Linked DNA regions of Drosophila melanogaster. The protein of the gene in region 3 interacts with the protein of the main gene of each other region in a pairwise test. Each region holds a gene or a part of one and is shown on either strand. Other genes may lie near its edges.

Region 1 (3,450 bases), on a different chromosome or scaffold from region 3:
CTTCTCCTCCAGGTGCTTCACCAGGCAACTCTTGCAAACTGTAATTGCAACAAACACTGACGTTATTGGGCAGGTAGTGTTCCATGCCGGACCAACTCACATGTGTGCAGACACTCCGTCACCGTGGTGGCATCGATGAAGTAGCCGCCGCAGATCTTGCACGTTATGTGCGGATTGATCGTCTTCAGCTTCACGCGCCGCTCCATGCTGGCCCCCCGATTGTGTGCTGAACTACGTTACTATATCCTATTTATCCCTATTTTGCAGCGGACCGATGGCTTGCCTTGCCTTTTCGATTTCCCACTCCCGCGCGGAAAACGCTCAAAACGGCGGATGCGCTCGCTTCCGATTAGTGGGAATGCTCGCGCACGCTTGTACAGGCACTCGGCATTGTGGCCAGCGGATTTTGGTCGCGATTTGTTTCCTTCTTGGTTGTAATTTGAAACAAATAAAATAGAAATCACGACTAAATAAATTGTGTGTACGTGTGAGCTAGCGATGGGCGATAGTTGCGTACCTGCTACTAGTCGCGATTATTTCACCGTGACAAGTCACCGCTTTGGCGGCATGTCACGACTCCATATTTTTCAAGTACAAAATTGACGTAGCACAGCAAATTTTAAACAATATGAATCAAGCATACCAATTGCATACTACTTTTATGAAATCCTGCAGCATACTTCCAAAATATTTATAAATAGCGCTCATTGTAACCCAGTGATTTCTTCACACCTTGTGTCACAGCCATCGTAGCCCAATGCATGCATGTGTGGGTGAATCGTGTCACCATATCGATACCGTGACTTTGTCCACCGCGCCGGGCCGGTCCCAACTATCGTATGTGCGTGGGTGGCCGGAGTCTGGCAACGCCCTTTGCTAATTTCAGGGTGGTCACACAATGCAAGGTGGTATATATGGAAATTAACAATTTTTTAAAATATATTGTGAAAACTAGTTTACATATTTTAAAGAGGTAATAAAACATTTGTTTTTAGAAGCATAACAAAATAGCTTATATAAGAAACCGTAATTTCGTCATTAAATATAATCTGTTACCTTTCGGTTTAGAAATTTTGAAATAATTTAAAAATAAGCCAATTCAAATTATTTTCATGTAATTTTTCAAAAACCGAAGGAATTCAACAAATCTGAACGCAAATATACGTTTATATGTATGGTGTCTATGTGCATAGTGGGGGGATTTATTTGTGTTCAGTTTGATTGTGTCGACAATTTTGAAGTTTTGTTTTCGGTTCCCTAATTTAATATGTACTTGGCGTATTGCGGCTCATACTTGTCGATGTAGTGCTGGACAAACCGACACCTTATAATAATGAAGTGCCCATTCAACAGTGCGTAGTCCAGTGCCGACTTGGCCAGTAGCTTCCCAATGCCATGTCCGCCCAGTTCCTCCGGGACGTTGGTGCTGTTGATGGTCATCACACCGTCCCTGATGGAGTATACCAATACAGCCCGGAGCTCGCCAATGTCGGTGTAGAACCGACCTCTCTTATGCCGGACAACAATGTGCGTACCAAAACATCTTTCCTGCGAATTTAGGTTTGGAACCTTTAAAATTTGACCAGTTAGGGTGTGGTTACTTGTGGGGATGGTGTAATCTCTCGAGCACAAGGAATACGTTCTTCGGCCACCTTGCAGAATCAGAATTGGAAGCAATTTGGAAAGCATTTCTTAATTTTTGTGAGTAGTTTCAGGAATTCGGGCCGAATAATCATACTTCACATCATAGTGACGATTTTCGAGTGACCAGCTTAAATTATTTAGTAAATAGTTCACACTAGCAACGCACCTGCGAGGTGAATTGATAAAGGATTGGGGATTAATCGCGGTGCATTTTTCCAGCTTATCTACAGCTACATAAGTATAATATCTAAATCAGTTCAAACATTGAAGATTATTTCCGAATCCCTTCTTACTGGCAATGTGACCGTACTCGCGCTTACTTATTTTGCTACCAGCCATCAGCTGTTGCTCGGCTATTGTTTTTGTTTTTGTTACTTGGATTGCTGGAGGCGTAGTTTTCTGCTTTTGATAATTACTCATAGCAAAAGCAGAGAAATGGCGCTGGTGGATCACGATTCCTGGGACATCGAGTACGAGGGCTGCGAGCGACTGCGGCATCAGCTGCTGGTATACCTCAACCAGCGGCAGCAGCTCAATCCGAGGACGAGCCAGTTCGTCCAACTGACAAGCAGCATTCAGACGGGAATAGAGCAGCTGGCCAAGGACATGAAGCACCTCAAGGTGGTGCTGGACAACGCCATCACCTGGGAGACGAGCCCGGAGGAGGAGCTGCAACAGCGGCGCATCGACTGGGATAGACTTACTTCGCAGCTGCGCGAGATCCGCGAGAAGTTCGCAAACAGTAGCCGCTCCAATGTCCCGGCCGCATCCGGTTCTGCTTGGCAGGATCAGGATCTCGGCCCAGGTCACAGCAATTCCTCGCGGAATACCGCCTTGGATGTGGAGGCTCTGAAGCAGAAAAAGACCGAGATGCTGGCGCAGCAGAACGAAGGACTCGAGGTTCTATCAGCCACATTGTCCAGACAGCGCCAACTGGCCACACAGCTGGGCAACGAGGTGGAGGACCAGAACAGTGGGTATTCCCCAGTCCCTGCACTACCAATGCTAATCCCTACCTCCTTGTAGATATCCTTGACAACTTGGCCAATGCCATGGACCGTGTGGAAACGGGTGTGCAGCGGGAAACACAGAGCATTGGACAGGTTAACCGGCGGGACAGTACCTGGGGCTACTGGCTCGTCATCATAGCCTTGTTCGTCGCCATCATTGTCGTGGTCTTCGTCTAGCTCCCACGATCCATTCCAGTTGTTATACTACTTTATACTATGACCTGCGTGGAATGTCTATCTGTTAACCCAAAGTTTGATTATTTATGTATACACCAATTAAAGTAGGATTTATAAGTATTTACGTTCGCGGATCGATCCCCTTGATCAGGTTTATTTAGTCGTTACATTACGGTTAACAGATGTACAGGTGTTTATATACTTAAGCCAAATCGGAGGCGTAGGGCACGTTCGCCAGGTGCCCGATGGCGCCGACGGCCAGCTTGGAGCTGCCCACCTTCTTGGCCGCCTCCTGGACCTGCGACTGCGAGATGCCATCGATTGCGCCAAGCAGGGCGTCCGCCTCCAGCACGTTCCGGGTGAGCGCCGCCTGGCGACCGATCTCCTTAATTAGACCACCGTCCGACGAGTAGCGCGAGATGATGCGCGCCTTCAGAAGAGCCTTGCCTCTGGCCACATCCTTATCAGACACCGAAGCCGACTTCAGGCCGCGCACCAGGAACTCCACGGTCTTGCCAATGTCCTTGGAGTCGGCGGAGACCACAAAACCGAACAGACCAGCGTCCGAGTAGCTGGCATTCACAGCCTTGACAGAGGCTCCGACGCCGCCGGCGCAGTT
Region 2 (11,665 bases), on a different chromosome or scaffold from region 3:
TTCAATGTTGATTTTAGTTGCAAAAAAAACATAGTTGGAAAAGCTTCAAATACGCGATTGGTTAAAAAAATTTCCAAAATATGTTATGCCGTCAATTAGTTATAAGAAATTCCATTTCAAAATATTTGAACCATATATTTCAGCATTGGCTATTCTTGAATGACTATTTGTTGCTTTGTTTCCATGGCAAAGATTTCGACATAAATAGCTTCTCAAACATAAGATACTGGCCTGCAAATAAATCTTGCACTATCTTTGCGAATTGTCAAGTACATATCACATCAGCTGACTGGGAGATAGCAGATATTGTTTAATGTTTACATAGGCCTACGATACCCAGCAAAATCGTTCTTTTTATAGAGCATTGCCGTTCCACTGAGCGCCAATTTTAAATTTCCCATGTATTTAGTATTTTGTTTGCACTGCTTCCTGGCTGTAAGCAAAAAAGAATTTCGAATTCCTTTGGAAGGTCAGCTGGGCTAAAAAAGTGATCCCAGTGGCGGTGGACAGGCTTTTGGCGAGTCAAATTAAAATTCAGTTTATGCGGTCTGAAGAGTGGAAAGCTGAGGGCGTTATGTAAGCCTTTGTTTTGTGGGTGGGAAATGTAATAATTCCGCAATGATCCTCAAAGCAGGTGGAAATAATTGCGCAAGCGTTTTCCCGGGCCGGCGGTAAATTGAATTTGGCCCGCCTGAAAGAAAATCTGCAACTGCAGCGAAAATCTCGGGTCATCAATTCGCTATTCGGCATGACTGCAAGGATGCGAAGGATCTGGGTCTGGGCATTCCAGTGCTGCGACTAAACTACACGAGACACATTCCGTTTGGCAAAACATAAATCTGGCAGCCAGCACACACAAGTGTGCCCTCCCAAAAAGAAAGCCATGGCTTTCCCCCCAAAAAACAAACACACAAACAGTGAAATGAGAGAACAAACAAATAGTCAGAGATGCGATTGCGACTACAGATGCAGATACAGATACTGGTGCAGTGGCGGATACAGATACAGATACAGACACGGATCCAGATACTCCTGCTGCAATCGCATGCAGAAATGTTGAAAACATTGGAGGACATGTGTAATTTCTCACGTGCAACTGCGGGGTCTCTCTCTTTGTTGATTCCCATCCCGCCACTTTACCACTTCTTCACACAATTGGGGGAGAAATGGCAGAAGGACGCCCAGCTGAAGACAAACAAAATGCCAAATGAAACAAACAATAAAAATGTTTGTATGTACGTAGGTAGCAGCAGCGGCGAGCATAAAAGCAAAGTGCTTAAAAAATAATAGTAAATTACACAGACAAGCACCGGGTACCCGGCCACGACACGCCCCCTTTTTGCCACACAGCCATGCATGACAAGCTTGCGTTATTTTGGGGCAAGCTGATTTAATCCCGGGCAGCAGGAGCTGCACAAGCAGCAAGGACGAGGACGGTAGCACCTCGGGCCCAGACGGTCGTTGGGCGGGGGCGTTGAAGGGTTAACGCTTTGCTCACCTGTCCTAGCCCAAAACGCCGCAATTTGCAACGCCCCACCCAGTGAAATCAGTGGACGGAGGACCTTTGGCTGGGAGATGGAAATTAGGAGGGGTCAACGTATTGCCCTAACGTTTTTTCGGCTGCTCGCCTTTCGCGGCACATTTAAATTCAAAGGGAATTCCACTTTCGGTGGATTATATGCAATTTCTTTCGCCGAAACACTCAAATTGTTTTACTCGCCATTTGCGATATGAGAATTCATGGCACATGGTACAAGTGTTCCGCTTCTGATTATGCCAAATGAGATGATTCCTTCGAAACGGCAGTGAGTGCTGCTGCAATGGAGGTAAATGCAATTTGGTTTAAGTTGCCCATGATGGCACACGAGATTTGCATTCGGCATCAGCCAGCTCTATTATATGAAAATACTGCTGAGCGTGTGCTTGATTTTTTACGGAGCTTATCTCGGTGGCATCCACTGGGTGCAAATGGAATTTCATATATGATTCACAAACTTTTCGCTGCTCCAAGATAAATGATTTATTTTCTTCTATTTTTCTTTCCATAGAGTCCAGAGCCGGAGACTCATCCTCGGCTGGGATACAAATGTTTTCATTAAATTCGGTTTGTTTGGTGGTTTCTTTTGTGACCCGCTTTGTTCTCGGTGGCCATTGTGGGGTCCATTGCTGCCATTTGCTACCGGAGGAGGGCCACCCATCTGCCACCACCCACTTTTGTTGCCAAGCTGGAACACTAAACAATACAGCAAAATTACTTAATTTCATGTTGGTCTAATCAAGTTGCCATTGCCGAGCAGGTAAGCGACGAGTGTGTGGCTGGCTGGCACGGAACGTCCTCCGCACAAAGGTGGCCAGCGGGAGCTGGAGCAGCTGAACCATATGCGGGGGAGGAGGGCAGCTGAGGGTCCTGGGTGGCAGCCCTGCTGTACTCAAATAATTTGCCGTTACCGTGCACCTTTAATGTGCCTACACTTTAAGGATTTTACAATTACCATTAAAAATATTAATTAGTTTTCAAGTTTTAATTTACGTATTTTACATTTACTACTAAAAGGAAGGAAAGAAACTTTTCTGTTGATTTGGAGGGGTATTTAATATATTTAAAAGTGGGATAAAACATAACGATGAATTTATTGATTCTTAAGTCATATTGCCAATGTACCAATTGTGATTTTTACTCCCATACAATTTGACCCACTGTTATATATTCATAATCATATAGCCTTTTACTGTTGTTTTGCTAGTTGCTCGACTGGGTTTTTGGAGCAACTTTTCTCAGTGTACTTCGTCCGCTCGTGTGTGAGCCACAACGGAACGTTTAGTGGTCCCACTTATGCGGCGGAGCAAAATGAAGGGAAGAGGCGATGCAGCAGACGTGGAATGGAAGCCCAAAAACAAAAAAAAAAAAACTACATGAAATAGGTGGACAGCTAAACGTTGTGAAATGGGGCCAAACGCTAGAAGGCATTCAAGATTTTAGTGGGTCTTTGGCCAGGCTCATGTTAATTTCAAACTGTGTCAATGTCGGCTTCCGTTTCCTGCACACACACACAGGACGTAGCCTTTGGCCACTTGAGATGCAAAGAGGTAAAAAGGCCACAAATTTAAACATTTGCCCACTCCAACACGCACCGTCGCTCCCACACACACACACACACACTTACAAAAAGAAATCAAGGTGGCCGGAACGAAACATTGGTAAAACGGTCATCTGCAATAAGCATCAGCTGCTGCTGGAACAGCGTGAAAGTGGAACAAGCAGAGGCTGCAGGACACCCGCTGGGCGAGAAGCACAGGATGTGGGCCAAAAAGGCACGGGGAGCCTGCTCCTGAGGCGCTTGATAAATTGGTAGCGACATTTCAGCCGAAACTTGACAATTAACAGCTGAAATACATGAGCTGTATATGTCTGCTTTGTGTAATTAAAAACCCAGCAGACAGCCTGGAAATTGCTTGGCCAAAATGCTTTCATTTTTTTTTCGGTTCTAGCCACTTTCGTCGGTTGGTGGTCCACTCTTGGACAAGATTGAATGCGCCAACAGAAATTATGCCGCCAAGTGTGCCTTATATTGCTGCTACTGCTGCTCTTGCAGCAGCTGTTTTGGCTGCCTTCTTCTTTGGGCCAAATTAACTTTAGCCAAGTTGAGTCCACAGCCAGCCTATGTGTTTGTGTGTGTCCGTGTTGCCTTCTTTTAAGGGAGAGCATGCCTGTGTGAGTGCTTCAGTTTATTGTGTGTGTGTCAAGGCTATGCTAAAAATTTGTCCAGAACATTTGCACATTTTGATTTGTTATGTTGTGGTGCACTGCAAACAATGTCGATGTATTTGGGTGGATGCTGTACGAGTATTATGTTGTATTGGGTCTCATCTACATCATCGTGATCATAATGTGCTGTTAGCAAAACTCAATTTCTTTTAAATCCTTTGGGGTTTATTTGCCAAGTTGTAATTAATTGAATTATTTCCCAGAAGAAATTATTATGTTGATTTATCTTCGAGTATACGTTTGCTGTATTATGGGGAGCGTGCTATAGTTTATTGGTAAATTAGTAATTTATGTTGACTAATAGATTGCCTCCTTTTCGGCTTTATCATTGTTTTTGTGCAGCTTAGACTTTGCTTCTTCGATGGAACAAAGTTTTGCGATAAAAGGGCGATCAACGTTTAAAGTTGGCTTAGGAAAACCTCTAGAACAGTTCTAAATTTTGGTAGTAACTAAACGAGAAAGCCAGCACACATCCCTCAGTGTCTTTTTGGCCACCCGAGGCGTCGTAACCCCTGAGCCCAACATTGTATGCGAATGCCGCTCCGATAAGACGTGCCATTTAATTACCAAAATATAAAGTGCATTCCGGCTACCAGAGCGCCCAGCATGGAGTTTTCTGCGAGTGTCAAATCCCAAAACAAACCCACGAGCAAATATGCCGCATGCTGATGACGACGGCGATGCCGATGTTCGGCTCGTAACAGTGCACGTGGTGGCCAAAAAGCACGCTACATGCACTACATCTACTCATACACTTACTCACACACGCACACACACACACACACACACACACAGGCTCGTGTCGGGTGCAGCACTCACTCACACCATGACGAGTGCAGAGGCGTCGGCAGAGTCGACCGAGACGGCGACTGCGATAAGATAAAGCCCCTGCGATGACATAGAGCACCCAGAGCGCTCGAGTTCTGCCGACGCTGGCAGAGATGGCGGCGCAGACGAGTAGCGCATATAAAAGCCGCTGACTCGATGGCAACGAGCATCACAAGACGGCCAACCGCGCTGCCGAGCAGACGAGTCCAGTTCGAGAGGGTACCAAAATTTAATCAGAAAGTGTAGAGTCAGTTTAGAAGCAACGGTAAAGTTAACGTCTATCTCTGTGTGTGAGTGTGTGTGTGTGTGCGAGTGCTAGTGCTAGTGCACCTGTGTTTGTGCTGAGAGTTTCCGCTACAAGAATAATAATGCCGCAACATTTTTCGAAAAAGCCCATTTCCAAAACCGACAAAAGAACAAGCCAAAAGTAACGAGCACAAGTGGGTGGCTCAAAGAGCTGCGAGGCTCAACAGGAACCAGAGCCCCAGTTTTCCTTGAGTGGGCAGATAGTTTGTGAAAGAAAGGTGGGGGTAGGGTATGCTGGAGGTACTTTTGCAAAAAACACAACCAACCTCTCGACAATTTAACAACTGGAAGAATATTCTTACTTCGCCCCACCTTGGTCAGGGCCATAATGAATTCATTGAAAGCGTGGCCAAAGTTTTGCTCTGGCCAAGCCAAGGAGAAGCGAACGCTGCCGCTCTAAGGATCCTCGTCCTGTCAGTCAGTCAGTCAGTCAGCCAGCCTGTGTCTGTTTTTTCGGTCCTGTTGTTTGGCCAGGCATGCGTCGGTGGCCTTAGGCCGCTCATTGTGAGCTCCTTGGCTCCACAGCTCCTCGGTGGCTGCAAATTGTAAATTGTAAAACTGTAAATTGTCAAACTGTAAATTAATGCAAATTACACGAAATTACTGCGAACCGGACAATGCAACAAAAGGCAAATAGTGGACGCGGAATACGGCGGACAGTGGACAGCGGACCACGGACAATTCCCGGAGCTGCATCAGCAGATAAAGAGCAAACGGCGACGCCACTTGCATTGTCTATTATTTTAAATTGGCTGCGCAAATTTACGGCAGCGCAAAAGTAATTAGCGACGGTTGAAAACTGTGCCATCGTCCAACTCGAATTGAGAATGAAGATGGGTGAGAATTGGAAAAGCGATTGGGTCATCTGGTCATCGGGGGGATTAGGCTGCTGCTGGGATCAGCAAACCGAGTTGTAGATTCCCTGCCAATGGCAGGCCAAATACGTATTCCACTGTCCAATTTGCATGCTGATGCAATCAAAACTACTACAATTTGTCCAGAAAATCGATCAATCGCATGTCTGACAGAGTGTAGCATACTTTTCAGCACTGCCTAACATTTGTCAGCTATCTGCATTTTTTTCGGACCCCATCCCACATTTTATTCTCTAATAATTTATGAGCTTCCTGCCTGCCCTCGCCTGTCGGGAATTCAGATTTTGCATAATAAACACATTGCAGCCCAAACCAAAAAACAAGAACCAGTTTATGCAAATCAAATTGTGTTGATAAACGAGTGGTAGGGTGTTCTCTAATTTGATTGCCCAATAAATTGCTGTATCGAATGAAACCATTTCGCATCTCGCGCGCCGATACTAAAAAAGCAATTAAAGCATTGATGTCTTCATATTGAAATTTATAACTTCACAGATGGCTATTAATTGCCGGAGAGGAGATAAAAGTCTGGGATTTCCGCCATATTTCCATTATTAGAAACTCGTTGCTGCGCTGCATGGCCCGAAAAATGAAAGCGAAACTCAAACAGAACCCAATTAACGAGCCTTCGGCGGTGATGTTGGTTAATGTGGTTGCCTCGTGCCACAAAAGCCGACGCAGTTTTGTGGCAAACAGCGCGTGGCTTTTATGCATTGGCGCATGAGTATTGGTAATTAATGGGAAGGCGGCGGCACAAATGACCGTGCCACAGCGACAAACAAACTTCCGCGCCACACGGCGTATGCGTAATGTGCTCGGCGCCCTACAAAGCGGAACCCAGCGGAAAACTGAAAAACAAATGACATCGATGAATTCAATTTGCGCGCATATTTAATTATTAAATGCGAGGATAAATAATACGCACATCAGGCTATTAAAAGGCTTTAAATTTCCACGGCCATTTCCCGTAGCCATTTCGAAAGTGCTACTGAAATGTGATTTCACTGCATTGCAATGCATTGGCTAGCAGGCTCGTAGATTATCCAGTCGAACTTAATCCCGTTTCCAATTGACCTGGAACAAGCAGACCATTTATATCACCTTTTATATATATTTATTTGCATTGATAAACTTATAAACATATAAAGATTTATGCTAGGAGAGAATATATCAGAATATAACAGAACTAAATAGTATGAATATTTTTGGATGAATATTATTGGCTCCAAACTGTTGTATGAAAACGGTTTCATTTGTCTTAAACGACGAACAAATTTCACAAGTGGTCTCATATTGATTTGTATTTTCCCGTATAAAAACATTAATTTCCTTATGCCCCTGGCTACGTGATTGTATTTCAGTTGAAAAGCACTTTTCATTCCCTTCTGGAAAGAAACTCACGGAATTGCAATTGCCAATGGAGATGGAAAGGGCGCCAAATTGAATATTACACTTTTTGTGTACTTTTAGCCAGTTGAGATGTGGATTATTTTTTCAGCATTCATTTTTTATTTTAACCAACATACTACCACTCCAATTTCACCTGATGTTAATTGAGGCGCACGTGGGAAATTAATGAACTGTGACAGTCTGATTTTTGCGCGCAAATGTGTGTGCATTAAATGCTAAATGAAGTTGACATCGGCTGCCGCATTGTTTGAGGCCATCGTTAATTTATTAATTAAACAAGCGATTTAACCTATTGCAATAATTGTCAAAATTAACCTTTATGACAGCGAAATTTGTGAATTCAATTAACATTGCCAAAGTCAGCTTTGCACAAGATTAATCGTTCTAAGGGAAAATGGAAGGAGGGCTTATGCAGCTTATGAATTTTTGCAATATACAGCATTATGAATACTGGGCCAGATTATTTTTTAATTTATTTTGACTCTTAACTTTTGACCTTGCTATGACATAATTTTAAATAAAATGTGGGTAATATTGTTGATTTTATTCCGTTTTTCATAAATTGTAATTGAACTAATCCACTTTTAAGCCAGCACTCACCTGCACTTCAGATGCCCGAAGGCAATAGAACCAATATTGATAATTCTTCCATTAGAATAACAATTTCCCCACCATTTTCTTGCATGTTTCAGCCCTGACTTGGCTTACAAACGGCAACCTTTTCGCCATAATAATATAATAATATTATCTTTAGTAAGAGTCAAATTTACGCGCACTTGACCAGAAACCTTTACGCCGTTCCTAGATCGGATGTCTTATTTGAATTTGCCTCTTGCCAATTCGATAAGCTCGACTCGGAGAAATTCTATTTAATTCCATTTCCGAGACAAACTGCATTTTTGCCAAACGGAAGTGGTCCGCTTTTAGCCATCAGCCATCAGGCATCAGCCGTTGGCCATCGACGCTGTCTTGGCCATCCCGGCATCCTCGTTGCCGTTACCGTTGCCGTTGTCATGTTCATTGCATTCCACTTTCCACTTGACATCCTCGCTGCAATTTCCCTCTGTTGTGGAATTATGCTTTGGCTACCTTAGCGGCTCCTAGCTGAGCGAAACAAACACCAGTTTCTGGGGTAAGGGATACCCGAAATGAACTAAGGCAAATATTTACTAGGCTTGTACAATGACTTAAGCCTCTTCCAAATAAAGATAGTGAACATGAACGATGCGTTTTGTTCTGCCTTTAAATTCTATTCGGGAGATGTATTTTATTACATATAGTTTATACGTTATATTTCTTTCAATTTCTTCAATCCGATAGGGTTCTGGCAAAGCACTCGGCACTCGATTTAAAGTCCCTTGAGACTCGCGTAACGCCACCCATAAACGCTGTGAATATGAGGTACTCTTTTAGAGGCAGTTAATGCAAACACGAAGGCTTTCACAGGCTTTCAGCTTTGAGCGCTGGCAATGGCCCGGTCTGGTCTTTTGATGTTTGGGGGCCTGTTTACTGCGTCTGCACTGCCAAGATACATTCCACAATGCATGCATGCATATATAGTTCTGTCTAATTTAGCACATGGCCCTGCCTTGCAACTGGCTTCTGATTGAAGGTTAAATGAGCCATGAGCCCCACAAACACACACATAAGCATACACTCGCACGCTCGCAAAGGGGGCGGGGCTGGGGGCTGTCTGAGGCAAAGCCATTGCATTTGTGTCGCTTTTAGCTCGGCACTCGACCCGCCTCTTTTCCCCCAGGATGCATTTGCATTGCGCACAACAGCGCTTTCGCTCTTTTCGCATCCTTAGACAGTCCTGTTTTATTTCCTTTGCCCGAATTAGCTGGCATAAACCAAGCCAGTCAACTAGAGCTAACCCAATCCGTTTTCCTGCTGCCCCTGGTTCTATTCTGCTAGTTTTGGTTTTAATATTTTTTTTCTTCCTAGACTGTTATTTTTACGAGGCAGCACCACCCCTAATTGAGAAAGAACTTTAAATTTAAACGCAGCCTTGTTTCCGAATACTCTTCATTTGCCATTTTCTGCCATCGACGATGTCCGTTTAATTGTATTTTTCATTGTCATTGCAGTTCCCCATTTCCGGTTGCAACTGTGGTGAGCCAATATAAGCTCAATAAAGAAAACAACCAGCGGTAAATCAAACACACAAAAAAAAAAACCAACACAATAATGTCGATCTCCGATTTCCGCAAAAAGAAGCTGCTTTTTCTGTTCAATGTGTTCTTTGGTGAGTATTTATCAGAATGAAGAATGACCGATGTGGAAAAAAGGAGTTGCAAGTCGCAAACCGCACGTGACGTCCATTTTAAGGGGAAAATCCCAGTCATGGGACGGGAAAACTTTGATTAGGTTGGAGCCGAAGTGGAGGAGTCGGCTTTAATAGGAGTGTAAAACACGGCCAAGATATTATGAGAATTTCTATAATAAAATCGCAACGTGAATGACAGACATAAGCGTGACGTTCACTTTCGATTTAAGCACCACCATATGTGCTGTGAAAAACAACGCGTATACGTAATGTGGTCCTATTGCATCGCGTATACGTAAGTGCTTGAAATCCACTTAAATACGTGGAGTGTATTCCGTTCCATGTTTAATGCACAGGAGTGTTTGCCTGTCAGGGAAGTCAAACAAAACTTGCCAATTTAAAATTAATTTAAACGCAATGCAAATGTCGAAGGAACAACTTTCGTGGAGAGCTCACGAAAGTAGGCAACACTGTGTGTGATAAAGCTTAAGTGCATTTCAATTATGACTAATTCACCGGTGCGGTGCGGTTCTCTCATCCCTTGATTCCCATCCACAAAATGTTCTCTGCTAACTTGGCTCACTGCCCGCCTTTCGGCGGCAGCTGGTCAGGATATAACAAAAGAGCAGCGTCGAAAAAAAGGGCATAAAACGCAAACGCCAAACACTTGACACTGGCACTGAAGTGGCCGTTTGCACACCGTTGCGAATGATAATGGTACGCCCGCATGGCCAAAAGCCAAACGCAGGGCTTCGTGGAAATGGCACTCAAAGAAATGGTCACTAAAATAAACAAAAAATTAATCTAGCGTGGCTAAGGGGGTTTATTTTAATGATTTTAGCGACTATTTTGGCGATAAAAAGCTAGTAGTTTCTTAGGTGTTAAAATCACTAATCGAAGACTATAGATAACTGAATGGCTTAGACGAAATGAAGCTTTCCTAAATATAATTGGGGAAATTTAGTTTTATTGAAACTCATTAGTAAATATGTTCATTGGAAGACAGTCAGGCATTATGAGAATTTCTATGTTGAAATTAGGATAGTGTGAACAAAGAAGATTAACTGGTATTTATTTTCTAATTAGGGAATTATGGGTAAGAGAAATATTAGTATGGTTTAATTAGAAATCTATAAATGCACTGACAGAAAAATTTAATTTTGTAAATAAACAAGGACAAAAAGAAATACATTTTGCAGCTCCCAATAAAGATAATGAGGCTGTATAAAAAAAGACATTTTTGAAAGGCCTTTGTAAAGTGAATTATCTTATTTGTTTGAGCGATTCCTCAATACCAGGAATAGTTTTCTCTGAGTGTTGCAAGGACTTCCGTGTGGCGGCTGGGTGACAGTTGGGCTGTTCAATTTTGTCGATGTTCGCACTACCGCCGACCGGAACTTTGTCGCTGGGTGCCAAAAAATACGTACATTGTTCATTCCTCTATTCGCATTCTTTTCGGCTCTTCTCGCCTGCGCTGTTTGGATCTGGATTTTGGGCCGTACTGACCAATGCAAACAATGCGGGACCAACAACATGCAATTTACGCTGACTGCCCCCAAAATAACAACAATGCCGCATAATGCGTGCCGCAACAGATGTGAACCAAAGCGGCGAAATCGACGTTAAGGACTTCGAGCTGGCCATCGAGGTAAGTGGAGCGGAAATGGTGCTAGCAAAAAAGAAAGCAAGCCAAAAATGTGAATATATTGTGAAGAGTGCATGCGAGAAATGCTGGTACTTGCATATGAACTATTCGTTCATACATCAACAAAAGAGCTGCGCAAATGTTTTCCAGTTTTTGTGTTTAGTTTTTTGTCTTTTACTGTTTTTTTTTTGCCCATTTGCATGCACTGTTTTTGCCAATATCAACTGATAACACAATTTGGAGGGTGCCATGCTGACTGTTATTGTTTCTGCCAATTGCAGCGCGTTTGCCAACTGCGCGGCTGGCAGAAGGACACGCCGAAGAACAAGGAGACCTACGACCTGATGATGGAAATCTGGACTGGCCTGCGCTCCAAGGCCGACAAGGACAACGATGGACAGGTGAGTTCCATTCCTTCCACCCGCTGAGTTGCAAAGGCAATGCAACTAACTACATGTCAAGTGATTCGGGTTTTTGTGCGGCTCCATTGTCAGTGCCAAAAGTGCTGAAATCCATGGACTGCACTCGATGCCATTGTGGCAGCAGCTGACAATTGTGCAGGACAC
Region 3 (11,635 bases):
TTGACGTCAGTGCATTTATGGAATGAAATCTTCTCAACCTCTTTACCCCATTTTAGTTGGGCGGAAGCGAGGCAAAGTGATGCGCCGGCCCCGATTATCCCGTCGAATATTGCAAAATCTGGTAGAATGAAAAAAGTCGCTTTCAAATAAAAATCGAGACGGAGAATTTTGTTGTAACAGTGGTGGCGCCATGAATTGAGTGAATTTCGAAAGGAGAGTCCACCGGGCGGATACCCTTTAGCTCTTTCCGAGGTCGGATGAAATTTTTTTCGATTCCGCTTTGGAGACGGCAGCGGCTCCTGTCTTTTCTTTCGCATTCTGCAAAATGAAGTTAATTTTTTGCGGTTTCCTCACGGCGCCTGTGCGCTCAGAGGTGACTGGTCTTCTATTCTGGTACCCATTTGCATGGGTCGGCTGCAGCATTTTAGAAAATGAGGGATCGACCTCCATAGGCTCTGGTGTGCGTTGTTTTTGTAATTTTTGACATTTTGCGGATCGGCGTGAGCCCTGTGCTGCCTATAGAAATACGGATTTTTGGTATTATTAGTGTAGTAGGCTGCTCCTTCTACCCTCTTCCTTTACTCTTAGTCATACATTCCTAGTCATACATACCTAATTATACATAGCCAATCTAGTCATAAGCTTATACATTCATACACCCATCCTTACTATATACATACATACAAATATTATCGAGAAACTTATCGACTGATCGACTCGCCACTCTGCAGAGAGCGCGGCAGTCAGTCGCTGTTGAACCAAGCTAGAGTACAGATCGAAATAAAAGAGACAATTGAAATAGTATTCGAATATTAACTTCTGTAAACGGCGGCTAAAATCTCAGAAGTGGGATTAATAATCCAAAATGGACGATAAAATCATCCTGAACGACTTTTCGCTGACAACTCTAAAAGATTGGCTACGTAAGATTGGCTGCAAGACATCCCAACGGCAGTTCGGGGCGATTGTCCACCGGAGCACCCCCAGAAAAACGCTCCACCAGGAAACGACATTTTTTCTTCACTGGATTTCCAGAATTGTGAAATTAACACCGATCACGTAAGTGTGAATGCGATGAACAGAAAAGAATCAACCGAAACTGGCAGTGAGAGGGAGACAAACATGTTCGAGCTACAGCAACTACGCGCAGAGCTAGCAGAAGCGAAGGCAATGCTTAACGGAACACGATCGAGCTTGCAGTTCCAAGAACAACAACAACCAGAGCAAAGCAAGGCTACAGTTAGTTCCGTTATCCAGACGGCGCCACAAAAGAGAACACAACATTTCACTCGCCGCAGCGATCCAACGAGAGAGCGGAGAGCCAGCCTTGTCACTGCCTTAATGGCGAGAGGTGCCGTTGAAATTTTTAAAATTTTTTAATTTTAAAGCGGCTATCCCCGCTTGTCACCACGAAACATATGATTCCTGTGACCCCGAGAATTCAGGCAAATATTTAACGGCGTCTAAAGTCACGCTACATGGAGAATTATTAGTTATATCTATGGGTTCGTAGGTTCTAATTACGGGGGCCACGGCTGAGGTGGGCGCGACATGTGCTGCTGCCAACCCGTTGGTCAGTTCCTGAATTTTCTGACGCATTTCATTTTGTGTGAGTTCGTTTTTGGCGGCCTCCTCCGCTAAAGTATTGGCCACAATTCCCTGTATTACAGCTTTACGCTGTTCTGGATCTAGCGCCAATGCAGGGTGATTCGCGGTTACTCGTCTTAGAGGGGGAGCTTGACTCTGAGTCTGTGGAGTATGGTTTTATTCGTATACTGTGAGAATCCGGGCTGCATGAGCAGTCCATTTCGCTTAGGTATGTGTGGGTGGCAGTTGACCAAAGACAGACAAACAATAAATAAAGACAAAGGCTGCAGCGCGGAATGTCGCGCTTGAATCGAATGAAAACATAAAATGTTATAAAAAAAAACTATATGATTTTTGTTTCTATTCACATTGATTACTGTTGAAAATCGTGTATTTTTTGTTCAAAAAAATTTTTGTTGGAAACATTTTTTTTACCGTTACATTGGCGTTGATTAACAATGTATTTTTTTTTTGTTTTTTAAACGATTCTGTACAGCGGTTTGTGGTACATAATTATAAATTGCGTTTAGCATCGGTTCCAACTCACATGATTTTTTTAAGTTTGTGTGTTGGTGTTCGTTGCTGTAGGTTGTTGGTGATAGTGATGGTGGGTGGTGGTTTTCACCACTAGTTGAGCGCCAATTATTTAAAGATGAATCGCACCGTCTTGCGTATTTTAACAATATTGTTTTTTGAATCTCTCTTTCGCTTGATACCGTTAAAAACAGCGCGAAAACGAAGAGAAATGCAAATAATGACTGCCAATTTTTGTACAGATTACCCATTACATTCTCTTACAAGATTGCACGCAGACAATCAATTTTTGTTTGGCACAAGTATTGTGACAAGCTTATTTAGTAAATTGTATCCTTTTTTGAAGCACTTGTAAATCAAAAATTGTTTAAATTGTACTTTTTATGATGTTAAACGTTATACAAAAAGAAAAAATAAAAAAAATTTATTGATTGATGGCCATGGGTGAAAAGGCCCAGTTAAGTTCGTTTATTGTTGTAGATCATCAATGGAAGCACAGTTTAACGTTGGAATTAAAGTAAAAAACTTTGCGAAGCAGTTTAAATTGCCGCGTCAAACTGTGTATTATCAATTTAAAAAGTATAAAAACATAATGATTTAAAAAAACTTAAAAGGTTTTAACGGCCTTAACAACATTCACTGACGACAAAGTCTTTATGAGGGAATTTAAAAAAAAATTTTCCAAAACCCCAGCCGTTGAAACGCAGTGGAATCTGACCGCCAGGCTTCCCAAAAGTAGTGGCCGCCCAGTTTGACGACGTTTAATGGCACAGGGCGTGAGGACATACATATGTAATAATCGGTGCCCAGGGAACACCACGGGGAGGCCACTACAATTGTAATGGGTCCTATATTTACATGAACTTCGCGTTTATTTTCCACTACTTACCAATTACTATTTGCGCTTATATTTCCGTACTTTACTATTGCAACACATTTTGGAAATTGTTATAATTGTAATTATAAAACAAAAATTTTCCAAAAAAAGTCATTACATTGAAAAAAAATTGTCTACAAATAATACGTTGTAGAAAATACTGCTTAAAAAACTGTTTATTACAAAAGTCTTGAAAAATCTTGAGGCACGAAGTGCGGACACAACGTCGCGAGCTGAATACTCTAATGACAATTATTTTAATATAGTCATTTTTGAAATTTATTTTGTGATATTATGATTCGGCTATTTCTATTTCTAAGCTTTATTAAATAATAGTAACGTTAAGGCAATGCAAAACAATAATTTTTCACATGGTGCCTATTTATCAAAAATAATATAGATTTAAAGTCTAAGAACTTTTAAGGTGAAGGGCATATTTTGTCAAATTTACAATGCATGAGCATACGTGTGCACACATACAGTTGTCTGCTATCACTGCAGGCGTCGAAAAGAGCTGTTCGCTGTAGCGCTCTCCGCTCTCTCGCTCTCGAACAAAAATTTGAGAGTATGGCACTACGCATCTGTTACTCTAGTGTCTTCGGTTCGGTGACTTGGTCCCTGTCTCCGGCTCGATGAACCAAAGGCAATGTTTGACGACCCTAAACGAAAATGCGTTTCCTTCTGGAAATAGGCTGATCGAGGATCATTTATCCTGCAGAAAGATTATGCTCCGTGCCACAAAGCCCGAATGATAGCCAAGTTTCTAAAGGCTGTTGGCGTCACTCTCTTGAATTGTGCACCTCAAAGTCCAGATTTAAATATAATTAAGAAATCTGGTCTCTTTTAAAACGGAAAATAACTGTTCCGTGACACAAAACTCGTTAGAAGGCGATTTCTGAAATCACTTCTCTTTTTAAAGAGATGATCCTTTACAATATGGAGGATTTAGTAAAGGTTCGACTTACTTACACACAAAAAATAGACATTACTATCATATTAAACCATTTAAAAGTTTCACTGAAAAAAGGTTTGGAGTTTATTTTGTCAAAATGCTTACCGACTAGTGTATGTGGATACAGCAACACAGCGCACAAGATAATCTCGTGTTCATATGTACATGTTACAGAACGACGTAACGTAACATAATTAATTACCAGCTTGATATAGGAAATCAAGACAGTAATGACCTTACTAACTACTTTAATTAATTTATAAATAAAATATTTGTAAGTTGGGTAATTTAATAATAGCTATCAACAAAATTAAAAACAGTACGAATAATTCATGTCTCGCCAAACCGTTCCACACAATATCAGTAATAACCGTAATAAACATTTAAAATACCTTTTTTTAGGTCTTCCGTAGGTAAAATTCCCGTGGAGAAATAAAATATCATTTCAACAATTTGTTCAGATTGACCTCTTTAATAAAAAAAAGTGCTTTCATGACTCTGAAGGAAATTCCGGAGTTTGGATTTATCGCTACTATAGTAATCAAATATATTAATTCTCAAAATTTAAATATATAACAGAAATAAGAAGTGAATGGCGCACTGAACACATGAAACATAAAAAATGAAGTGAATAGTCTTCTTTGGGGTTTAAAAAACACAAACTCCTCACTCCGCCCCTTAATACAATAAGCATGTTGTAACATTTAAATTGAACTTTAACTTTATTAAAAGGAAAACACCTCTAACAAATATATCGAAGGGAAAATTTCAATACTAGTTTTAAGTAGTTGGGAAACTACATCTGAAATATTAGTTGGCAGTTACTCTGCTATTCATGTAAAATTGCTGGGCGGAGAGCAACAAAGTCAAAACATATATACATGCGGCAATCCAGCAGTTGTAGGCATTCTGAAAAAATTTACCTTGCATTAGCAGACGTATGTGTACATATGGTTGTTGTAAAAAGAGAACATACCTGATTGTATGCTCTATTTGCAGCTGCATAAAAATCTTCCAACGAATGGTATTCCTCCTCAAGAGGTAAGTCCTCAATGAGGGCTACACTATTTATGTAGAAGAATAGACCCATTAAAACCTTTAACATAAATATGTAAGTGGTTACTTTTTGAAACTTTGACGAAATTAGATTCTCAGTACTCACCAATTGGACAATACCCCAAACAGAGATAATAAGACCACAAAGTGATAGTTTCGGGCCACAGATTTTCATTTTCTTAAATTTTTGTTAAACACTTTTAAGAGAATAAAAAGTTTCAGCAAACACAATTCGTCACAATTCCTCAATGAAAACTGTGATTTTGTCAGGTGAACATATCATGTGACCAAACTTTTGGTGTGGCTGTGCACAAATAAAATTAAAAAACTGATGCAAATGTAAGCGATAAAAAACATAAGCTCGTCAAACTAGCGTCGGTGAGCTAGTGACGATTTAGGAGCGGTGGAAAAGGAACAAGGGCCGTTTTAGTAATTTTAGTCACTGCCCGGAGCGTGTGAAGCGCAATGGTCAACATTCTACTGCCCGGAGCGTGTGAAGCGCGATGTCAGCATTCTGCCGTGAGCGCTGCTTCAGAAAACGGGCTACTTCATATTAAGCTTAAGTTTTCTGTCTTTAGTTTTAAAACTCATCAGAACGCGCATAGTCGCATAATAAATCGCAATACACAAAATCGTTGCCTGTTAATTTATATAACAATATATATATAATATATTATAATATATATATTATATATATATATATATATATACAATACAATACAATAAGTATAATAAATAAATATATATATACATATATATATATATAATAATAATAATTTTAATATTATTAATTTTATTATTATAATTATTAATATTTTAATATATATGTCGGAGATTGAGTAGATCTAACATATTATTTGAATTATTATTTGAATGTAACCGACATTTGTTTATTGATCCGTATGTTAAGGATGAGCAGCGAGTAATAAAATTCACGGAATGAGTTCCGTTATTGAGTGGGCATCATTTGTGTGTGTATTCAAATTAGCATGGCGCCTGTTGTTGTTGTGGTAGAGTTTTGTGGAAACGAAGTAAGGATAAAACAAAAAAAGAATTTTGAAGATGAGAAATAGAAGAATAGCATCGAGAAGGCGACGCTTGAGTAAATAAGTCTGGTGAGAACTGCCAAAGAGACAACACGCAGGCGACTTGCTGTGCTAATTAATTGGACGCTCGGCTTCACCGACATATATATATTATATTATATCATATATATATATTAACATATCCATTCTATACCCACAACTCCCCAACCACACACACTATCGTAAACAATTACACACACACATCAATGTGTAAGTACGAAATGTAATTAAAGATCGAGAGCCCTTCGATTAAGCTTAGCTGTCAATTACTCACAGCAAAGTGCAAAAGTCCGAATTCCAAAGTCTAGACTCTGCGTCGAGCCAACGTCCACGTCCCCTAAATATCCGATCACTTGGTGAACCAACTGAAATAACAAAAACTTCCGCCCACACAATCGTCTCAGGATTCTCCAATTAATCCTATTTTTCGGAAGCTCCTCTCTTAACAGGAGAATAGACGTTGATAACGTTGTTCTCTTAAGCTTCGCTCTTAAGCTATCCCAATCTGCCTACATAAACCCAAACATGCCCCAATACGTTAGTTCAGTTCTGAGTACGTTATCAATCGCCATAACCCTGCTTAAGATTGAACCACGCGAATCGGCGCTAAAGTGAACATAAAATCGTAATACAATTAACTCTTTTATCCGCAAAAGAACTACTTATAATCGGTGGTTGACACGCAATAGTCAAACCTACTGCATACGGTCAATAAAAGTGTAAAAACAAAAATAAAAATAAAATCATCAGCCATGGCAACCGAGCAAGTCAAACTGTTATCGGAATCCCATCTGAATCAAGCCTTAAGCCAAATTAGGCAAATACCCACATTCAGTGGTAATACCCCAGAACTCAGTGCCTTTATCCGAAAGATCGATTTCATACTTCCAGTCTATCCATCAACCGACACCAGTTAAAAACATGTATTCTTCAGCGCAATTGAGATGCAACTCGCCTCGCGCGATAAACGAGTTCACATGCGTCTGATTTGGTTTTTCCAAAAATATTGACAACCTACAATTTCGTCTTGTCTTATTTTTTGATAGGGTTTTATCAAAGACTCTAGAATAACAAGATGCGTACCGCCATAACGACTTTTTGGCACACGATTTTTTCGGCGTGGCTCTAGAGGTGGCTCCAGGCTCTCCCGAATTTTTGTTCAAGATCGAGAGAGCGGAGAGCGCTACAGCGAAAAGCTCTTTTCTACGCATACAGTGATAGCAGACAACATGCATTGTAAATTTGACAAAATATGCCCTTCTCCTTAGAAGTTCTTAGACTTTTAAGGCAATGCAAAGTCTAAGTCTAAGCAAAGTCTTAAGTCTGTATTATTTTTGATCAATTGGCACCATGCGAAAAATTCTTGTTTGCATTGCCTTAACGTTATTATTATTTGAAAATAGATTAGAAATAGCGAAATCTATGTACATCACAAAATAAATTTCAAAAATGACTTTACATTAGAATATTTGTCATTAGAGTATTCAGCTTACGGCGCGTAAAAAATTAAATTTGTAAAATTTATGTTTTAGATTACAGTAGTTATAATAATTTCCTTTGTATTTGCTTTAATTATTTAGTATATTTATTAGTCATTTGATATTTTTTAATATTATTATAATATTTAATATTGATATACATTTTAATATTATGTATGTAAATAATCAAATTTTATTATTTAAAGTGCACATTAGATTCAGTTGTTTTTTCATATTCTTTTTTTTATATTCAAATTTGATATTTTTTAACAGCGCGCAATTTCATCATATTGCTACGAAATTGGCCAAAACTCCCCAAATATGTAAAATCGTTTCTTCGATCAGAATTGATTTCGTCCCGAAAATCGTATTCTAGCACAACACGCACACATATAGGCGTTCTCTTCTCTTTTTTTACTCACACAAGCAAGAAAATTCTATTTTTATATTTCTTACGCTCTTAGCGTTCACAATTCGTTCACATTTTTAATCGAAAGAAATTTTGATTTGCAAAAAACTTTTTTCACGTTCACTTTAGCCCAAAACTAACCCGCCCACATTTGTTGGATATTTTTTTATAATTTTATTAGTTCTTTCGAATTGCCAAAGAACTTTTGACCGAACCGGTCAAATTTTACATTTTTTCTTATGAAATTTCGCGTTTGCATTCCCACTAGCTAAGTAATGGGTATCTGATAGTCGGGAAACTCGACTATCTTTATGATTTATTCTTTTTTTTTTTATTTATAATATAATATTTATTATTATTACAATAAGTATTTTAAGTTTCTTTGATCACTTCATTGTTATAATTGATTATGTTTTTATTATTTTCGTAAATTTAATCTCTATAATGGAGCCGGATATTTATTTTGGGTTCCTCCGAATAATAACCAAAACAAGCTTTCTAAACTTAGCTACCATAGTATTTAAACAAGAGAACTCTTGATTCTTCTAAAATCGGGTAACTGTTACATAGCTAAAGGGAGACCATTTTTTTTGGAGATAGATAAGGGGCTCCACATTATCGTTCAGCTTTTTTGCGAAAGTGCGAATTCGCAGGGTCTCATGGTCTTAAGTTGTTAAATTTGTAAAATTTTAGACCGATCGGATAATGTTTAGAGGTGCCTTTCTTAACCAAAAGTTTCGTATAGGCATTTTTTTATTGCTAAAATTCTGTTTTCTTCTAAATTCCTAAATTCTATTTAAGGTTTTAGGTCGCAAATTACTTTAATCAACTTTATTTTAAGTAGTGCGTTTAGTTTTCTTTTTAAAATGATTTTAACTATTCAAATTGGTTAAGAATTAGCGGTTTTACCGCATTTTATTGAGTATTTTCCAAGTGTCTAATATTGATAGCTCTAATCATTACGTGAACACAAAATCTGTGCAACTCTTTTACAATTTTAACCGGGACTTAACGTGTAAAGCGTGTTCGAATCCAAATGCCCAAATCGAAATCCCGAATCGCTATCCGCCAAGAATACCATTGTATTAATTAGTTGGAAAAACTTTTTGACGACTGCAAAAATCTCAGCAAGAATAAAAACAGAACAAGAGCTAAACAAGCGGCTTTCGTTGACAATTTGGACAACCTTTTTGATATTGCACATGCAAATGCAATGGATGCTCACAAAAAACAAAGAATTTTTACAAAAAAATACAGCACCTCTAAACATTATCCGACCGGGCTAAAACTTTACAAATTTAAGTTTTACACCAAAACGAACAATTTGAGACCATGAGACCTTTAATTTTCGAATTTTGTTGTGTGTGTTAGGTAAACCTAGTTCAATTTGGGGAATAAGTTCGTTCGTTCGTTTAAAATCAATGAACTAGGTCGTTCATTTAGTTCAATCGTTCATTTGAAACTTTTGCTTTACAAAAAAAAAGGTTTGAATTTATTTCATACAAGCTGTCATTGAAAATTAATATTATTTATTCAATTTATGTCAAAAACACTTATACATAATAATAATAAGAAATAATAAAGAGTTTGCAACTATATTGAACTAAGTGAACTATATTGAACTATAAGGACAGACCTAGTTCGTTCGTTCAGTTTGGTGAATAGTTCAATTTAGTTCGTTCGTTCACGAACGACACAACACCAATCATCCAATGCCTTAACTGGCGCCCAAACAGGGGCGCTGACTTGTGCGCAGACAAGTTTTCATGAGTCTAGGAGCAGCAGAAATAACTGGTCAAGGAAAGGGCTTGTCGGGAATTGGAGAAAGTCGTATTTTAACATTTGGAAGTATTATTATATCCGTTCTAATAGATACAATGGAAGTAGAATTTCACATGATTCAAGATCAGGATATGGGTTTCGAACCTATTTTAGAAAGGACAATTTTGGACACTGTGGATATGAAGGTTACCAAAAGTGGTACTCAGAAGGTAAAATTAGGGATACATAGATATTTGATCGTCAGGTGAATGATGGATTTCTATGCATGTGTGTGGAAGAGCTTATAGCAACTTCTAAGGTAGATTTATCTCATCTTAGTCAGCCTGAAGCTTAAACGGAATTGGAGATGATTGAACAATATTGTCCAATCCGTAACACAAATGCCCCTGACGAGATGAAAACTGTTTTGAAAGATGACGTTTCAGTTTATCACCATCCCAGGCGACAGTCGTATAGTGATCAAAACTTTGTAGATGAGCAGGTGCGGGAACGGTTAAAAGAATGTATAATACAGCCAAGTACATCCGAGTATGTATGAGTAAATGAGAAAATTATACGAGATAATTTTCCGATGCCACAATGTCTTAGACAAACTTCAGAATGCGAAGATATATATAAAATAAGATTTGACCAATGGGTTTTTCCATGTGCCCGTAGAAAATTTTGTCCGTGATTCGAAGTGGGCAGTACGAATTTTTTTTTTGTACCGTTTGGCATTTCGAATTCGCTTGCAGGTTTTACTAGGCTTGTAATATCGCTAGTGGCATTGTAATACCAAAGACACTAGAATAAAAAGATGCGTAACGCCATACGATTTTTTGGCACACGATTTTTTTTGCCGTGGCTCTAGAAGTGGCTCCAGGCTCTCTCGAATTTTTATTCGTGAGCGAGAGAGCGGAGAGCGCTACAGCGAACAGCTCTTTTCTACGCATACAGTGATAGCAGACAACTGTATGTGTGCACACGTATGCTCATGCATTGTAAATTTGATTTAAAAATAGATTAGAAATAGCCAAATATTAATATATATTATATTATATTATATTATTATGTATTAATATATTAATATATAAATAGCACATATTATCAAAAAAAAAATTTAAAAATGGCTTTATATTAGAATATTTGTTATTAGAGTATTCAGATTACGGCGCGTGAAAAATTAAATTTGTAAAATTTATGTTTTAGATTACAGTAGTTATAATAATTTCCTTTGTATTTGCTTTAATTATTTAGTATATTTATTAGTCATTTGACTTAATATTATGTATGTAAATAATCCAATTTTATTATTTAAAATGCACATTAGATTCAGTTGTTTTTCATATTCTTTTTTTTTATATTCAAATTTGATATTTTTAAACAGCGCGCAATTTCATCATATTGCTACGAAATTGGCCAAAACTCCCCAAATATGTAAATTCGTTTCTTCGATCAGAATTGATTTCGGCACACGTATACGCGTTCTCGTCTCTTGTTTTTACTCACACAAGCAAGCAAATTATATTTTTTAGATTTCTTACGCTCTCAACGTAAGCGAATGGACAGAGAGCACTTTTTTCCGTCACCAAAAAAGTGGCTGCATAGTGCAAAACGAATTTATGGCCGTTACGCATCTTGTTATTTTAGTGTCTTTGGTTTTATTGTTTCGCTATCGCGCTCATAGCGACTATGTTCAGCGAAATTGGTCTCACTTGGTCTCATCTATTTACTCTCACACATTAATGTTATATAAGAACATATATAAGATATATAATTTGCCAAAAAACTATTTGGCGCGCCCACAATAACGTCCACAAACTGACCTTCTTTTCTCATTATATTCTCTAATATCTCTAACAACTGTAAGTGTGCAAGTTAATAGATTTGTGTTTT

The links.
Region 1: the proteins of RNASEK (region 3) and Syx8 interact in a two-hybrid assay, tested with the Drosophila melanogaster proteins (one large-scale study listed by BioGRID).
Region 2: the proteins of RNASEK (region 3) and Scp2 interact in a two-hybrid assay, tested with the Drosophila melanogaster proteins (one large-scale study listed by BioGRID).

The regions. Positions count from the first base shown.
Region 1 is NT_037436.4:16,585,608-16,589,057, reverse strand, and holds Syx8 (syntaxin 8), read left to right. Parts: upstream 1-2,000; 5' UTR 2,001-2,079; coding exon 2,080-2,617; intron 2,618-2,670; coding exon 2,671-2,831; 3' UTR 2,832-2,950; downstream 2,951-3,450. Other genes in the region: l(3)73Ah (lethal (3) 73Ah), read right to left, coding at 1-38, 101-206; CG32163 (uncharacterized protein), read right to left, coding at 1,258-1,689; UQCR-C2 (Ubiquinol-cytochrome c reductase core protein 2), read right to left, coding at 3,034-3,450.
Region 2 is NT_033777.3:16,576,758-16,588,422, reverse strand, and holds the start of Scp2 (sarcoplasmic calcium-binding protein 2), read left to right. Parts: upstream 1-4,759; 5' UTR 4,760-4,859; intron 4,860-9,275; 5' UTR 9,276-9,375; coding exon 9,376-9,433; intron 9,434-11,049; coding exon 11,050-11,102; intron 11,103-11,380; coding exon 11,381-11,500; intron 11,501-11,665.
Region 3 is NT_033778.4:4,182,834-4,194,468, forward strand, and holds RNASEK (ribonuclease kappa), read right to left. Parts: upstream 5,295-11,635; 5' UTR 5,182-5,294; coding exon 5,113-5,181; intron 5,047-5,112; coding exon 4,927-5,046; intron 4,860-4,926; coding exon 4,761-4,859; 3' UTR 4,002-4,760; downstream 1-4,001.